2 linked regions of the Astyanax mexicanus genome follow. The protein of the gene in region 1 interacts with the protein of each later gene in a pairwise test. Links are inferred from orthologs where the notes say so. Each region holds a gene or a part of one and is shown in the gene's direction. Other genes may lie near its edges. The genes, in order: immt and pfdn1.

Region 1 (7,555 bases):
CTTACTGTCATTTGACCTGCAGTTCAACAGAGGGCTTTCAGGGTTTCTTTTCTGTTTTACTGTTGATAGTAATACTGTCATTGGTGGGTAGTAACCATTGGTTTGTTTAATTTTAGTTGAGTATACAGAACCGTAATTAAACCATGTAAGAATTGTCAAATGATAGTATTAAAAGGTTTACATTCTATTGTGACTACTTCTGAAATAAATATTATGAAATATAACTAATACCTCTTCACTTGCACAATTGTTTCAGCAGGTGGCACCAAAGTTGGACAATTATAAATGTTACTGTCTAAATATTTGAGTTGTATTTTTAACTAATTTTTGTTTAATGTTATTTTTTTTCTTCTAATAATTTTTTTATTTATCTGTTTCTTGCTGAATCTTTGTTGTAACAATATCAATTACTTCCAATACCTTGTTTACTTTGAAAAGCTCTTAGTGTTTTGCAAATGAGCCTTTATGTAAACCAAAGCAAAAATTTCTTGATGAAATCTAACGGTTGCTGAAAATACTGACTAGGTGTGGACTGCACACATCAAGTTATATCAAGTCTAACCAACATGACATACTACAACTATGATATTGGTCAATTTAACCATTGCTGATTTGTAGCAACAGTTTTTTGTGAATTAATTTCAATAGCTTTTGAACCGTTGAGGGTATCACAACAGAACAAGTTGTATTAGATCAAGTCCCACCCACGTGACATACTACAACTCTGATATTGGTCAATTTAACCCTTGCTGATTTGTAGCAACAGTTTTTTGTTAATTAATTTTAATAGCTTTTGAACCGTTAAGGTTATTGATACAGAACAAGTTGTATTAGATCAAGTCCCACCCACATGACATACTACAACTCTGATATTGGTCAAATTAATCCTTGTTCTGTTGTGATACCCTCAACGGTTCAAAAGCTATTGAAATTAATTCACAAAAAACTGTTGCTACAAATCAGCAAGGGTTAAATTGACCAATATCAGAGTTGTAGTATGTCATATGGGTGGGACTTGATCTAATACAACTTGTTCTGTTGTGATACCCTCAACGGTTCAAAAGCTATTGAAATTAATTCACAAAAAACCTGTTGCTACAAATCAGCAAGGGTTAATTTGACCAATATCAGAGTTGTAGTATGTCATGTGGGTGGGACTTGATCTAATACAACTTGTTCTGTTGTGATACCCTCAACGGTTCAAAAGCTATTGAAATTAATTCACAAAAAACCTGTTGCTACAAATCAGCAAGGGTTAATTTGACCAATATCAGAGTTGTAGTATGTCATGTGGGTGGGACTTGATCTAATACAACTTGTTCTGTTGTGATACCCTCAACGGTTCAAAAGCTATTGAAATTAATTCACAAAAAACCTGTTGCTACAAATCAGCAAGGGTTAAATTGACCAATATCAGAGTTGTAGTATGTCATGTGGGTGGGACTTGATCTAATACAACTTGTTCTGTTGTGATACCCTCAACGGTTCAAAAGCTATTGAAATTAATTCACAAAAAACCTGTTGCTACAAATCAGCAAGGGTTAATTTGACCAATATCAGAGTTGTAGTATGTCATGTGGGTGGGACTTGATCTAATACAACTTGTTCTGTTGTGATACCCTCAACGGTTCAAAAGCTATTGAAATTAATTCACAAAAAACCTGTTGCAACAAATCAGCAAGGGTTAATTTGACCAATATCAGAGTTGTAGTATGTCATGTGGGTGGGACTTGATCTAATACAACTTGTTCTGTTGTGATACCCTCAACGGTTCAAAAGCTATTGAAATTAATTCACAAAAAACTGTTGCTACAAATCAGCAAGGGTTAAATTGACCAATATCAGAGTTGTAGTATGTCATATGGGTGGGACTTGATCTAATACAACTTGTTCTGTTGTGATACCCTCAACGGTTCAAAAGCTATTGAAATTAATTCACAAAAAACTGTTGCTACAAATCAGCAAGGGTTAAATTGACCAATATCAGAGTTGTAGTATGTCATATGGGTGGGACTTGATCTAATACAACTTGTTCTGTTGTGATACCCTCAACAGTTCAAAAGCTATTGAAATTAATTCACAAAAAACTGTTGCTACAAATCAGCAAGGGTTAATTTGACCAATATCATAGTTGTAGTATGTCATGTTGGTTAGACTTGATATAACTTGATGTGTGCAGTCCACACCTAGTCAGTATTTTCAGCAACCGTTAGATTTCATCAAGAAATTTTTGCTTTGGTTTACATAAAGGCTCATTTGCAAAACACTAAGAGCTTTTCAAAGTAAACAAGGTATTGGAAGTAATTGATATTGTTACAACAAAGATTCAGCAAGAAACAGATAAATAAAAAAATTATTAGAAGAAAAAAAATAACATTAAACAAAAATTAGTTAAAAATACAACTCAAATATTTAGACAGTAACATTTATAATTGTCCAACTTTGGTGCCACCTGCTGAAACAATTGTGCAAGTGAAGAGGTATTAGTTATATTTCATAATATTTATTTCAGAAGTAGTCACAATAGAATGTAAACCTTTTAATACTATCATTTGACAATTCTTACATGGTTTAATTACGGTTCTGTATACTCAACTAAAATTAAACAAACCAATGGTTACTACCCACCAATGACAGTATTACTATCAACAGTAAAACAGAAAAAGAAACCCTGAAAGCCCTCTGTTGAACTGCAGGTCAAATGACAGTAAGACTTGCAAAATGGGCTACAAGTGATTATTTGATAAAATATATACTCAGTTGAAACTTTGTCACAAAATCAGAATGAAATACTTTATGAAATATTTTTTAAAAAGGTTTTTTAAAAACAGTTACAAATTGAACAAAAAATGAGTGTAACCTTTATATTTTTAGATTGTTTTTAACAAAACAATTATTATAAAAAAATATTGTCAGGAACTCCTGAAGTCTTGTCATTTGTGACCAGCTAAAAACACTAAAGTACACTACACTTTCATATAATGAAGCATAAAGCATTTGCCCCGCCCATCTTCATTCGCCTTTTTGCTGTGTCGAGTAGTTTGTAGACGGTCCCTTAGCTCTCGTGCAGGTCGCGGCAGCCCATAGACGACAATGTGTTCTGTGGTTTTCTAAAGGCAGATGTTTGAGAGGGGAAAGACGTTGTAGCTGCTTGCTTTGGATGTCAGCATATAAAATAAGCAAGTATTAACCATTTTGCACACACAGTTCAAAAGCTATTGAAGAAAGAAATCCGAATATGCGAATATGAAACCAACTTTACCGGAGTCTCCCCGACTATGGAATTCTCTTCCAACTGCAGTTAAGCTATCTCCCACTCTTCCCATATTTAAATCGAATCTTAAAACTCATCTATTCTCTCTTGCTTATGGTCTCTCTTCTGCTTAACATTATGTTTGATCTCACATACTATAGTACTGCTGAGTTGGAGCTCCACTGTAAATGTTGTACCTGTATTGTCTGTGTATTGTATATCTGTATCTTTGTACCAATAATTGTAAGCGTCTTTGGGTTTTAGAAAAGCGCAATATAAAAATAAAGTATTATCATTATTATTATTATATCTCAAAACTGCGATTCAGTGATAATCAGTATATCGCAAAACTATTCTCCAATTCACAGCGACTATGCTACTGAGAAAAAAAAGTAAGTAAATAGCAGGAATTATGGATTTGTGTCAGTTTCACACAATTTAAATACCAATATTCACCCCATGTTTACATTTGATTGAGCCGTTACTGTACTATGTCAAATTTGGGGGTGAGTTGAGAGTTGAATTCCCGCTGTTGCTGTTGTGTATGAACAGTCTTTTTTAATGAACTCTATGCCCCTATGGGCTATTAAATCTGTATTTCTGAATGCTGGGGGTAAATGGAGGTGGGCTAATCGAGAACAGTTTTGTTCTCGTAATGTTTCACTACACCCCAAGTCTATTTCACTCCGGATTTCTTCTTCAATGTGTTTAATAATACAGAAGGATATTATTTTAAAAATTCTCTAAAGTGACATGAACCCTTGACTACCCCACCCCACCCCACCCCACCCCAGCAGCTGGTCGTGCCAAGTGCGCATGCGCGGCCTCTCCGTCACTCGGCGAACGGCGCTGGGAGTGAGTGCGCAGTGCTACCGAGGGTTCACCACTTTTATAATGTTTTGCTGAGCCGTCTGATTGTTAAGACTGTCGCTTTAGACCGAGACGCGAAAGGAGGAAAGGCCACAATGCTGCGCGTGTGCTGGAAAGGTGCAAATGCAGCGGCGCGGGTAAGCTTTGCTGAAGGACCGCCGAGTCTATGATTAGCCGGAGAGCTAAACTCCCCAGAGCGGTCATTTAGTGACCCACACCGCAGGCCGGCCGGGTCTATCGGCTCTAATAACGTGTTATCAGACGCCTCTGTTTATACAGTTACTCGGTGCTCCCTGTAGTGTGTTATTTAAGGTGCAGCAGCGCTAAAACTCTGGATTTATGGTGATAAATTGCGTGTCATTTGAAGTGGCTAACTGTGTAGCTGCTAGCTGGGACACTTTGAGTTCTACGTAAACGGCGTAAGTCAAAGCGTGGAGGGGCGGTCGTCCGTGTTGGATTGACGGCTGATGTAGCAAATGAAATGTGAGATCGGCAGTAGAAACGAGTGCCTCAACCAATAGGGCGCGTTTCTTCTTCAGTGACGTGGATGTGGGCGTACCAAGTGTGATTCAAGTTTTCCGTCATCCATTCATGTGCATTAGGAACCGAGGAGACGTTGGTGCAGAGTTTATAGTTTGCTGCTGAAATTTAGTTTATTTCGCTTTAATCAGATATCAGACCTGTGATATCGAGTGCACAAGGAGCGCGCGAACCCGCGACTGAGTTTATTTCGCATTGAGGCGAATTGTTTTTATCCAATTTGAGGGCGTGACCTTGCCAAGTTCATTGGAGTTGAAGGGAAACCCCTGGCATATGGCTGATTTCTCAGATGTTCATCACATTTTTTTTACACATAATCACATGTTTTATCTTGTGCATGTTATATTTACACAAAGGGTGTAAGTAAGACTGGCTGATAAGGGAGCTCAAAAATATTCTCTCACAGTATTTAAAGACACTTTCACAGTACATGATAGAAATTACAGGGTTTGCATCCAGATTAAATTCATCAGTAGAAGCAAATTACTGTATGACATACAGTACCAGTCAAAATTTAGACATACATTCTCATTCATTGTTTGCTTTATTTAATTTCTACATTGTAGATTCAAAATAAAAACATGAAAACAATCAATGAATACATGTGGAATTGCATAGTGAACTAAACAGTGTTTGTCCTCTGCAATACTGACCTAAACCCATCTAAGATGGTGATTTGGGATGAGCTGGAGCTTCAGAGCATAAAGTAAAAGCAGAAACTATTGTTTAGCACCTTTAGACCTACAACACGCAGCACATTCAGACTTTCATCATAATCACTAGAAAAAGACACAGAAACACAGACAACACTCTAACTGTTTAAATTATAAATAGTGCGATAGTGTACATGGTTTTAATAATTAATCTAAATTGTTGAATTATATTCCATGGATTTTGTTTAGGGATTATTTAACTACACAAAAAGTTACTTATTCTGTAAGGTAGTAGTGATTTTAAGCTTCTTATATGATTATTGAGGTGGTGATTGAGATTTGAAGAGAGCAGTGTATTTGTTTTTATCTGTTGTATGTTACTGCACCAGACAGAATGGTTGCACACTTCCAGGCAGTTGTTTTCATGTGGCCACTAGGTGATGAGGATGTTTTTGCTAGATGTTTGCTGTGGTGTTGCTAGGTGGTTGCTGTGGTATCCCTGGTAGTTTCTAGAATGTTGCGAAATGGGTTGCTAAATGAGTGATATAGTGTTCATAGTGGTTGCTCTTTAGTTACTAGGCAGTTGCTATGGTGTATCACATGGTTGTGAGGGTGTTGCACAGTGGTCACTGTGTTATCCCATGTGGATAGTTTGGTGTTAGTATTGTATTCTTACATGATCAGTTGCTCCCACCATCACCCAGTTGATTATCATTGGTGATTACACATCTGTTCTTGTTTATGGGCTCTGATTGGAGTTGCTGTCAATTTGTGGATAATGTTTTTTTTTTTTTTTTTTGTCTTCTCAGAATTGCCTCTGTGGTAAGGTACCAGTCCACCCTCTGCAGCACTGCCGCCGCTACACCTCAGCTGGAAACTCAGGGTATGAATTGACTGATTAAATAAAAAAAAATGCTTAGCTACAAATAAAGTGTTTGGATACAGATTTACCATACAGATTATCTCTAGCACACTAACCTGCCATTGTTATATTATGACTCTCTAAATATAATTTCATTTTAAATGTGATGCATTTTCTCTTGGGTCGGTCTATGGCAGGTCAGCTGCAGGAAAGATTGTGGCTGCTAGTATCCTAACAGTCGGTGGAGGTCTAGGTGGTACAATCCTGTACGCTAAATGGGACCCTAAATTCAGAGCAAATGTTGAGAAGAGCGTTCCATATTCTGACCAGCTTTTTGAGATGGCGCTTGGTCCCCCTCCACCACCGTTTATCCCAATGCAAAAGAAACCGGTAAGAGGAAAACCTGTTTAATTCAGATGTCTCATCCACTGTGCTTTGTATGTTTACAGACTGTCTGTCAGGCTTTAGATAGAGTCTATCTAGGTATATTTTGTTTATTGTTTTTAAATGCCGTTCTCTATGTATTTTAGGTGAAGGCTGAACCACTGCAGATCTCTTCAGTGTCTGAAGCCTCAAAGGACTCAAAGCAACCCAAAGCAAAAAGCAAAGCTAAAGAGAAGCAGCCAGAGCCAGCACCTGTGGATCCCAAACCTGCAGTAGAGGAAGCCCCAGCTCTGCCTCCACAGACCATTGAGGGTGAGTTTACATAATTCTGGATGATCTAATGGACTAGAAACATGCAACATGTTTTTTTCCTTGAATAGGTGGGTTTATCCAATAGACCTTTATCGGTCTTACGGGGGTTGTGTATCCTGCAGGCCCTTGTGATGTCTTGTAAAACTAAGCATATTATTAGGGTTTTTGTTAACAGCTTTTACTCTTCTGGGAAGGCTTTTACATTAGATCAGGGTGCTGATTTCTCTGTTGTAACAGACTTACTAAACCTTACAGTTAACACATTCAACAGAGTTAAGTCTGGCCCTCAGTCCAGCATTGCCCTTACCTGCGCTTGATGCATACTATGAAGACTGCAAGATTACAATGCAAATGTCATTGTTGAGAGTTTTGATTATTTGTTCTGTTTTATGATTCTGGAAGTCTTCGGTAGTGTACCGGCCTCTGTATACAACAGAGACAACATAAAATAAAGTGATTTGTGGAGGCTTTGTTCACTGTGCTACACACATGGCAACTGAACAAACTCCCTGCACACCATATATATGGTGTGGGAGATAAATGTTATATATGGTGTGGGAGATAAATGTAAATGTTAAAAAGGCAGTATTTTACAGTGTTCTATCCTTTTCCAGTAGTCATGGAAATGACCATAAAAGCTCATAGCGCCACCTACTGTGCTGGAGCACTTATGTGCACACA
Region 2 (8,382 bases), on another chromosome or scaffold:
TTTTTACAGAGGTGTATTCTGTAATGTATTACACTTGCTAGTAGTTAGTTAAGTTAAGTAAATGTAGTATTTCGTAATGTAAGGGCCTTTGACTTACCTTGACCTACTTTTTCTCCACAGTTGCATTTTCCACCAAGCCTAAGGACTCCTCTGCGATTCCCATCCCACCGAACAGAAGAAGAGGCAAGAAGAAGAAGAACCCCTGTTTGAGGAAAAAGTACAGAGATTATTGCGTTCATGGAGTCTGTCAGTACTTGGAGACACTAAATCACACAGCATGCATGTAAGTTCCTCCTAGTTATATACACCTGATGTCTGCCCTTTTAATAATCTTTGGTAGAAAACTTGCACATGTAATGGTTAAACCAATAAGGTCTTACCTTTGGACTGTAATGCAATTTGCATGGCTTTCTGTGTAACTGCACAGTAATTCCCATTTGCATGCTGTAGATCTCACAGAGCATTTAGTCCCTGTGTTTTTTGCTTGTATGTATTTAAACTTTGAATGTGTTCTTCTTGCAGATGTGAGACAGACTACTCGGGCGAGAGGTGTCACATATTCACTCTGCCTGTTGGTGCAGAAGTGAAAGGCTACAATCAGACTGCAGCTTTGGCTGCAATAGCAGTGGTCCTGTCTTTGATGTGCCTCACATTCATTGGCATTTTGCTGGCTTTCAGGTTAGTAGATGTTATACATACCTTGGGCTAGGGGTGTGCCATATCGAACATTTTTGACACAATAAAGAAAATCTTAATATTGTGATAATTGCGATATTCTTGCGAGCAGTATAGTTTGTATTTGTTTTGCTATTTATTGTATTTACTGTATTTTGTGTATGTTGCACTTTGTGTGTGTGTACTAAATATGCTGAGTTTTAGTTTAAGTTTTGGTTGTTACACAATTATAATTATATACAAATTCAGGGTTTTTGTATGTTATGGTTTATGAAATGGACAAACATTTATAGATTTTTTTCAACTGAATGTAAGAAACGTCTACATTTATTCTCATTAAAACTAATTTAAAAATACCTCACTATAAATACCCTGCAATATTGTGATATTATTTTAGGGCCATATCGCCCACCCCTACCTTGGACACATTTGCATTTGCATACACTGTTTTTGTTTTGCAAAACATACTAACAATACTGCATGTATTTTTCGCAGGTGTCATAAAAAAGGTGAAATAGAGACAGAAAGTGAGGAGAAGATCAAACTTGAGGCAGCGAGTGTACAATAGTGCTGATGAAGAAGGGTGAGCATTGTAATATATAATGATGAAAAATATAACTTTTTTTGTGTGCATTCTGTGTTGAATAAAGGCCAAAAAAATAACCACTACAAATGTATCATTATTATTATTATTATTATGTTCTGTATTAATTATTAACAATCAGTTACAATTGTTTTTTTTCCTGCAGGTGATCATACTGATGGCAAGACAGATGGAGAGAACTGGTCAGTGGTAACAGAGCACTTTTGGACATGCGGAGAACAGTTGGTTTGTTTCTGTTTCTTCCACTGTTAATTAATGTGGCTCAGTCCATCAGATATTAAAGCTGGAACTGTAATTATTTTATAAATAAATAATAACTGCGGTGATAATGGTAATTCGCTAAATACAGCAGTAATCATCAAATGACTGTAGTATGACCGTAATGCGGTAACAGTCACAGCCCTAGTTGCTCCCAAATTCTCAATTCTTGGAGCACACTCCTCCCCAGAGAGGTATGGTGAGATGCCTCACTCCTGATAAATCAACCTGTGTGTAATACAAATGAAGAAAGTCAATGAATGTAGCTTTGTGTTTGTGTTGTATGTATTGTTTCCCTTCTATTTATTTTTATAACTTAAAACGTTTTTTATTTATCTATTTATTTAGTTAAATAATCATTGTGTGTAAGTACTAAGTGCACTGCCGGTCTATGTAGTAGTTTGTAAATGGACAGTGATCTAATTCTTTTTCTGTTCTTTTGGCTTTGTGATTCAACATTTAAGAGTTTTCAGAGTCACAAAGCATAACTGCTACTGCTCATTCTGAAATGTTAAGAAATATTTATTGTATTTGTAATTCCAGCACACAACAGAAGTAAACAAAAGAACTTTCACTGTCCAAATACTTACACTACTGTATTTGTTTTACTGTATTTATTTGTAATTTTTTTTACATTTGTCTAATTTATCTTGTGAATACTGTGAAAAAATAAAATGTGTGTTCTTTTTAGACTTTGTACATAAGTTGTTTTGTTCTGCAGTATTATTTTTTTTTATGTTTCCTAAATTATTAATAAACAAATAAATAAATCAGGTAAAATGAAAGATATTAAAGTTGAAAATGTGTTTTATACTGACTACAACATACCACAAATATGTGTGAACATTTTTGTAGCTTATACACAGTCACTGACTAAGAGCTTGTCACTAGATGCTGCATTAATTAGTCAGTAGCGGTTAGATGTGTTGGTTCTGGTTCTCATACAGCAGTTATCAGGACCTGAACTCGTCTAGATTAGAGATGCATGAATACTGATACTGGCATTGGACATCTGTCCAATACAATGCTAAGTTGCTTGTAATGGCAAATGCGGCTCAGACAGCAAAAACTACACACAGTACCAGTCAGAAGTGTGGACACACTTTACCATTCAATGTTTTTTATTTATTTTCCCTTTATTGTAAATGAATACTGAAGAAATCCAGATTATGAAGAAACACATAAGGAATCATGTAGTAAAATTAAACATGTTAAAAATGTAAAGCATTTCAGAACTTTACAACTGATGCTCTCAAACACATTAATTTACTCTGGACAAGTTCAGCACAGCTGTTAACTGAAATCCATTCAAGGTGACTCTACTTTATAAAGCTGACTGAGGAAATCCAGCCAATATGTGCAAAGCTTTCATCTAAACAAGAGGTGTCTTCTAAAAGAAACTAAAATACAAAACATATTCTGGTTTGTTTAACATGTTTTGTTTAATAAACAAATCATAGTTTGGATTACTTTAATCTACAATTCAGAACAATTTAAACTCAATTTAAGGTGTGTCCTCTGGTACAGTATATATGTACAATTACGACACATACAGACAACCACAACAACGTCTATTACACAATTTCATCAAAGAACATTAGTCTCTGTCTGCAATGTCTGACTCCCAACCGCGTGTGTGATGTTGAGTGAAGAAGACTCGGGTTGCCAGATACGCTCATTAAGATACACCAAAAGGCTGTGCCTCCCTAAACCCTCAAATTGGCAAATAAAAAACACAATAAAACAGTCATTTCTGATTGTGGAAGCTCTCCACTCTTCCTTCAGACTCTGCTCCCTTGATTAAAAAATTAAATGTAAAGTTTACTGATGACCAGTGATGGTTTGGAGAGTCATGTCATCTGCTGGTGTTGATCCACTGTGTTTATATCAAGTCTAAAGTCAGTGCAGTGTTTTCCAGAAAATCTTACAGCACTTCATGCTTCCCTCTGCTGACAACTTTTATAGAGATGCGGATTTCATTTTTCAGCAGGACTTGGCACACTGCCCACACTGCCAAAAGTACCAATTTGCCTTACACATTGGCGTAGGAACCGGGGGGGATGGGTGGGACATGTCCCACCCAATATTAGAAACAGGTCGATTTGTCCCCCCCAAAAATTATATCGTTTCACTCAGATCAGCTGTACTATTAATGAGGAGACAGACCGGACCAATCACGGAGCCTGTTCAGGTATTAAGTCCCGCCTCTCAGTAGATTGGCAGAAACAGCCAATCTTGCTGGTTTTGCGGCGCGCGGAGGAGAGGCAGTTTGCTGTTGGGGAAGCCCCGCCCCCTCGCTGTGAGATTTAGCAGCGGGATCGGGACGCAGCAGCTTCAGCTGATTTTAAAACAGAGATGGATATACGGAGATTTTACTAAAAGAAAGGTAACGATAGGCTAACCACTTCAACTGTGATGATATGTTTCTGATAGCTGGTTAAAAATACACGTCTCTGAATCAGCACACAGTTTAAACCCACTGTGATTAATGAACTGCAGCTGTGTTAGTGAGTTAGCTTAACTTTGGAATGAGCTAGATTGGGAGTCAGGGTTAAAGAAAAAAAACTATATATATAATGTTCAACTTGCCCTGTACCTGATCAGCTATTCACTATTTCATTTTCAAACTTTGTTTATTAATTTAGGATTGCAGGACTTACTGTGAGCTATAATGAACGAAAATTAATTTAGCTAACTAGTTATCTAGAAGCTGCATGTAGTGGATAGCCAGAATTTAGTACAGTACTTTACGTTTGTAGTTTAAAGCAGTTTCTTAACCCTGGTCACTGCCCCCAAAATAGTGTTTTCCACCTGATCCAGCTGATCAGCTAATAAACAGTAATTTACTGAGTTTACCTGTTAAAACCCTTTAGCCCTCTATGGATCCTAAATTAATCATGTATATCCAGCAGTTTATTAGACACATCATTCCACCACTTACTCTATGAAATGCCTTTAAAGCAGAGTAAGCTGTAGAATATGCAGAATACACAACACAGAACAGTGTTAATATGCAGTAGAATATGTAAGAACAGGGTTGAGAAACACAGCTGTAACATGACTTCTGTTATGCGCAGGAGAAAATGTAAATATACGACAGAATTGACATGCCAATACATAATAATAATAATAATAACCAAATCTGTATTATTTTAAATATTAGGTGATAACTGATCATTATTGTCATATGTATATAATTCAGACATTGCATGCATATTTTTTTCTAACCACAGTAACTGTAACATGGAGTAACATGTTTAGATTGTAAAATCACCTTATAATAATAATTTACTTTTAATTAAAAGTAAATTCCACAAATGTTGTTCTAGGAAACTATAGAGTGGGCTTAGGTTCATATTGGCAAATGTGTCCCCCCCCCAATATCAAGCCCGCTCCTACGCCCTTGGCCTTACATAATATTCTAATTTTCTGAGACTTTGATTTTTGGGTTTTTATTGGCTGTGAGCCATAATCATCAACAATAAAATAAATAAAAACTTAAAATAGACCACTCTATGTGTAATACATCTATATAAAATATGAGTTTCACATTTTAAACTGAATTACTGAAATAAAGTAACTTTTCAATGGTATTGTAATGATATCTTAACTCTTCTCACAAAAAAGCCAAAGCAGCCTTCTGCTTCACCTTGGCAACCCGGAGTGGACTGTCTTCAGTACGCATGCGCAGACACTCGCCCTGCCTTCTGCAACATGGCAGCCCCCGTAGACCTAGAGCTGAAGAAGGTAAAGCGTGGCTGATGATCGCTGTTACGGTAGCTGTGGGTTTCTGAGCTGGGATTATTCTGTGTGATCGGGGTGTGAAACAGCTAAAGCGGGTTCTGATCAGGGTCTCTGATTAAACAGCACAGATATAAACTGAATAAAGCGGAGTGGCTAACAGTAGCTAATGCTACACAATACACAGCTCCGGGTTTATTATAGCTATTTACTTGGTTATTTAACGATGTATTATTGGTATTAGCCTCACTACTACCTAACAGTTTATAGAGGCTGTTATCCAGACACAGATTCCAGTTTAGGATTATTTGGATGTAGGATATGACCTTGGCTAGGTTTTAGCTAGCCACTGTAGCTAAAATAAATCCTTCCAATAATGCTGAGGCAAGGCAGGTTTATTTATACAGCGCATTTCACACACAATGGCAACTCAAAAAAGCTTTACATGAAGAAAAAAAAAACATTAAAACATCCCTGAGCTGTAGCACCTCAAACTTTTTTTGCAATGAATATAGTGCCAGTTAAAAAAACCAAAAGCAAAGAAATAAACAGTAAGAACCAAAAGAGAAAATATTTTGCAATAAAGTTGCATTCATTTCATTTTGAATAGTTTGGTCTAGGAGTGGGTGATATGACCCAAAAATAATATTATGATATTTCAGAGTATACAATATTCTTGGCGATATGGCACTGAATAAAAAAAAATAAGAATAGACTACTGCAACAAAATATGATATGGCACACCCCTAACTGATATATTAAAAAATAAAATAATTGTATCAGATTTGTAACAAAAGTAAAAAATACAGAATGTCATGATACTAATAATACACTCCATATAGCTCCATATATCCAGGACTGAAGTAAAATAAATATTACTGGACAGATATAATCTGCCTCTAGTAGATATATAATGGGAAATAAGACCAGTGTAAATTTTTCTTTAGCTAACAACAGCAAAAAAAAAAAATAGTACTCTGATGTGATAATTAGGGGTGGGTGATATGACACAATATTTCGGGGTATAATATACGATATAATATACGATATTAAAAAATGTTGGCCATATTATTGCGTACGATATGATACGTCACACCCCTAGTTGGAGCTCTGAATCTACACTAACAACGCTTATAGATAAAAGGTGCTTCCCAAAAATACCTAATATTAATATACAAATTACTATTATACAGTGCAGGCTATAAAATACACTACAAACAAGATTACTTATTTTAATGTCATTAAAGTTTAATGCAAACTGTACACATAAAACCTACTTTTGAATCAACATGAAATTGATGTGTATAAATAAATCACTTCTGACGTGGGTGACCAGTATTGTTTCAGTACATTAGCAATGGAAAAATGAATGTTAATGTTCAACATCCTTTTGCTATCTGAGTGGCTATTTGGTTTGTTGTCTAAATACTGGGTTTAGTAAGAGAAATATAGACTATTTGGGCTAATAAAGTCTTGCTCAATTGCTTAAGTGGATATGCAAAGAGGTGGTTATCAAAAACTAAAGAGCTGAATGTAGCATGTGGAGCACACAATGCCCGGATCTGGTGTGGACCATATAATAAAATATTTTTATAAATACTTAGTATTTAATTTTTATGCTTTTGTTTGCTTTGATTAGTTGTTACACATGGAAAAAAGAAAAAGTTCTGTAAAGATGTGTAAAATATCCTCTTGAAAAAAAAAATTACATGGTTTATCACAGTAGTGTTAAAATATTTGTTTTGCCTTTATGTAAATTGCCATTCAGTAGTATTAAAAATAACAATAAAAAGCAAGCAAATTTATACTGTGTTTACAAGCAAAAATACACTTATTGCAGAGATAAATGCTTTAAAATGATGTGGTAAGGTACCTAAAACGCTTGTAAAAAGTTCTGTATATTTATATTTTAAAGCATACTGTATATAACTACACTGTGTATGTTTTTGTCATGTTAAAGAGTTTTGTTGTTCTGAATTTATGTTTATAGATACTTCATTAATAGATATTGTGTTGTGTGTTGTGCTCTAGGCCTTTGCTGAACTGCAAGCTAAAATGATTGATACGCAGCAAAAAGTCAAGATCGCCGACCTGCAGATCGAGCAGTTGAGTCGCATGAAGAAGCACTCCAATCTGACACATGTGGAGATAACCTCCCTTCCTGACAGCACTCGGATGTATGAAGGAGTCGGGCGCATGTACGTATCTCAGAAATTATCTTTAGATTAGGTAATATATGGTGATTTTCGGTTTTAAATCCTATATTACCTGTCCAAAATGTCCAGACCTTAGATCTCTTTTAATTAGTTAATTCAATGACAGCACTCACAGCTTAAATCATCTTCACAGCTTGTAGAAGCTTTTATTGCAATTTTATAGCTCCCTATGAGTAATCTTGATTTCTGAAGAAACCTAGAGCATATTGGCTACGTTTAATTTACAAGCCACGTTCCTCAAATCAGATTTTCTTGATGGTTTACATTTATAAATGTAAGTGGTCTGTATCTGTGTGTAATGTGAACGAATCTGTCCCTGAAACCTCTCACATGCGCAGATTGATACGAGTATAAACGTCTTCTTCTTCACCAACAACAAAAAATGTCATATTTAAGAGATGACTCGTAAATGTGTAAAGGGAAATGGATGCGTTAGCAGCTCATATGTGGAGCATCTTTTGCTGGAGTGGAGAAACAGCAAACAGCTGGTCTGAAGTTCATGCTCAGGTCGAGGAGGTGAAAAAAGGCCAGGCGGTTTGCTTTTGCTGTTTTTGCAGCTATAGCTGTACAGCTGCACCAAGAGATGTAGTGTGGGTACGAGAGAGAAGCATGTAGTGCTAATGCTAATGTGTAAAAGCAAAAAGACGCATGAATTCTGATTTGACATATTCCATGGATATTTGCATGTCCATGGATCGAATTTGTATCTGATTTAGGACCATATATGAAAGTGTCTCAAATATGATTTGAGACGTTTACACAGCCATGAAAAAAATAAGATCTGAGCCACATTAAGCAAAAAATCTGATTAAATCACTTCAGCCTGGTAATGTGAATGTAGCCATAGGTGTCCACAGATTTTGGACATACTGCATAATTTGTCTGTTG

The links.
Region 2: the proteins of immt (region 1) and pfdn1 interact in a two-hybrid assay, tested with the Homo sapiens proteins (2 studies listed by BioGRID and IntAct). The link is inferred for Astyanax mexicanus from reciprocal best matches to the Homo sapiens genes IMMT and PFDN1.

What each region holds. Positions count from the first base shown.
Region 1 is NC_064417.1:17,879,093-17,886,647, forward strand, and holds the start of immt (MICOS complex subunit MIC60), read left to right. Parts: upstream 1-4,071; 5' UTR 4,072-4,218; coding exon 4,219-4,260; intron 4,261-6,125; coding exon 6,126-6,199; intron 6,200-6,375; coding exon 6,376-6,568; intron 6,569-6,708; coding exon 6,709-6,874; intron 6,875-7,555. UniProt on the Homo sapiens protein: Component of the MICOS complex, a large protein complex of the mitochondrial inner membrane that plays crucial roles in the maintenance of crista junctions, inner membrane architecture, and formation of contact sites to the outer membrane.
Region 2 is NC_064424.1:11,021,760-11,030,141, reverse strand, and holds the start of pfdn1 (prefoldin subunit 1), read left to right. Parts: upstream 1-5,177; 5' UTR 5,178-5,251; coding exon 5,252-5,284; intron 5,285-7,309; coding exon 7,310-7,476; intron 7,477-8,382. Other genes in the region: hbegfb (heparin-binding EGF-like growth factor b), read left to right, coding at 121-283, 523-678, 1,171-1,243. UniProt on the Homo sapiens protein: Binds specifically to cytosolic chaperonin (c-CPN) and transfers target proteins to it. Binds to nascent polypeptide chain and promotes folding in an environment in which there are many competing pathways for nonnative proteins.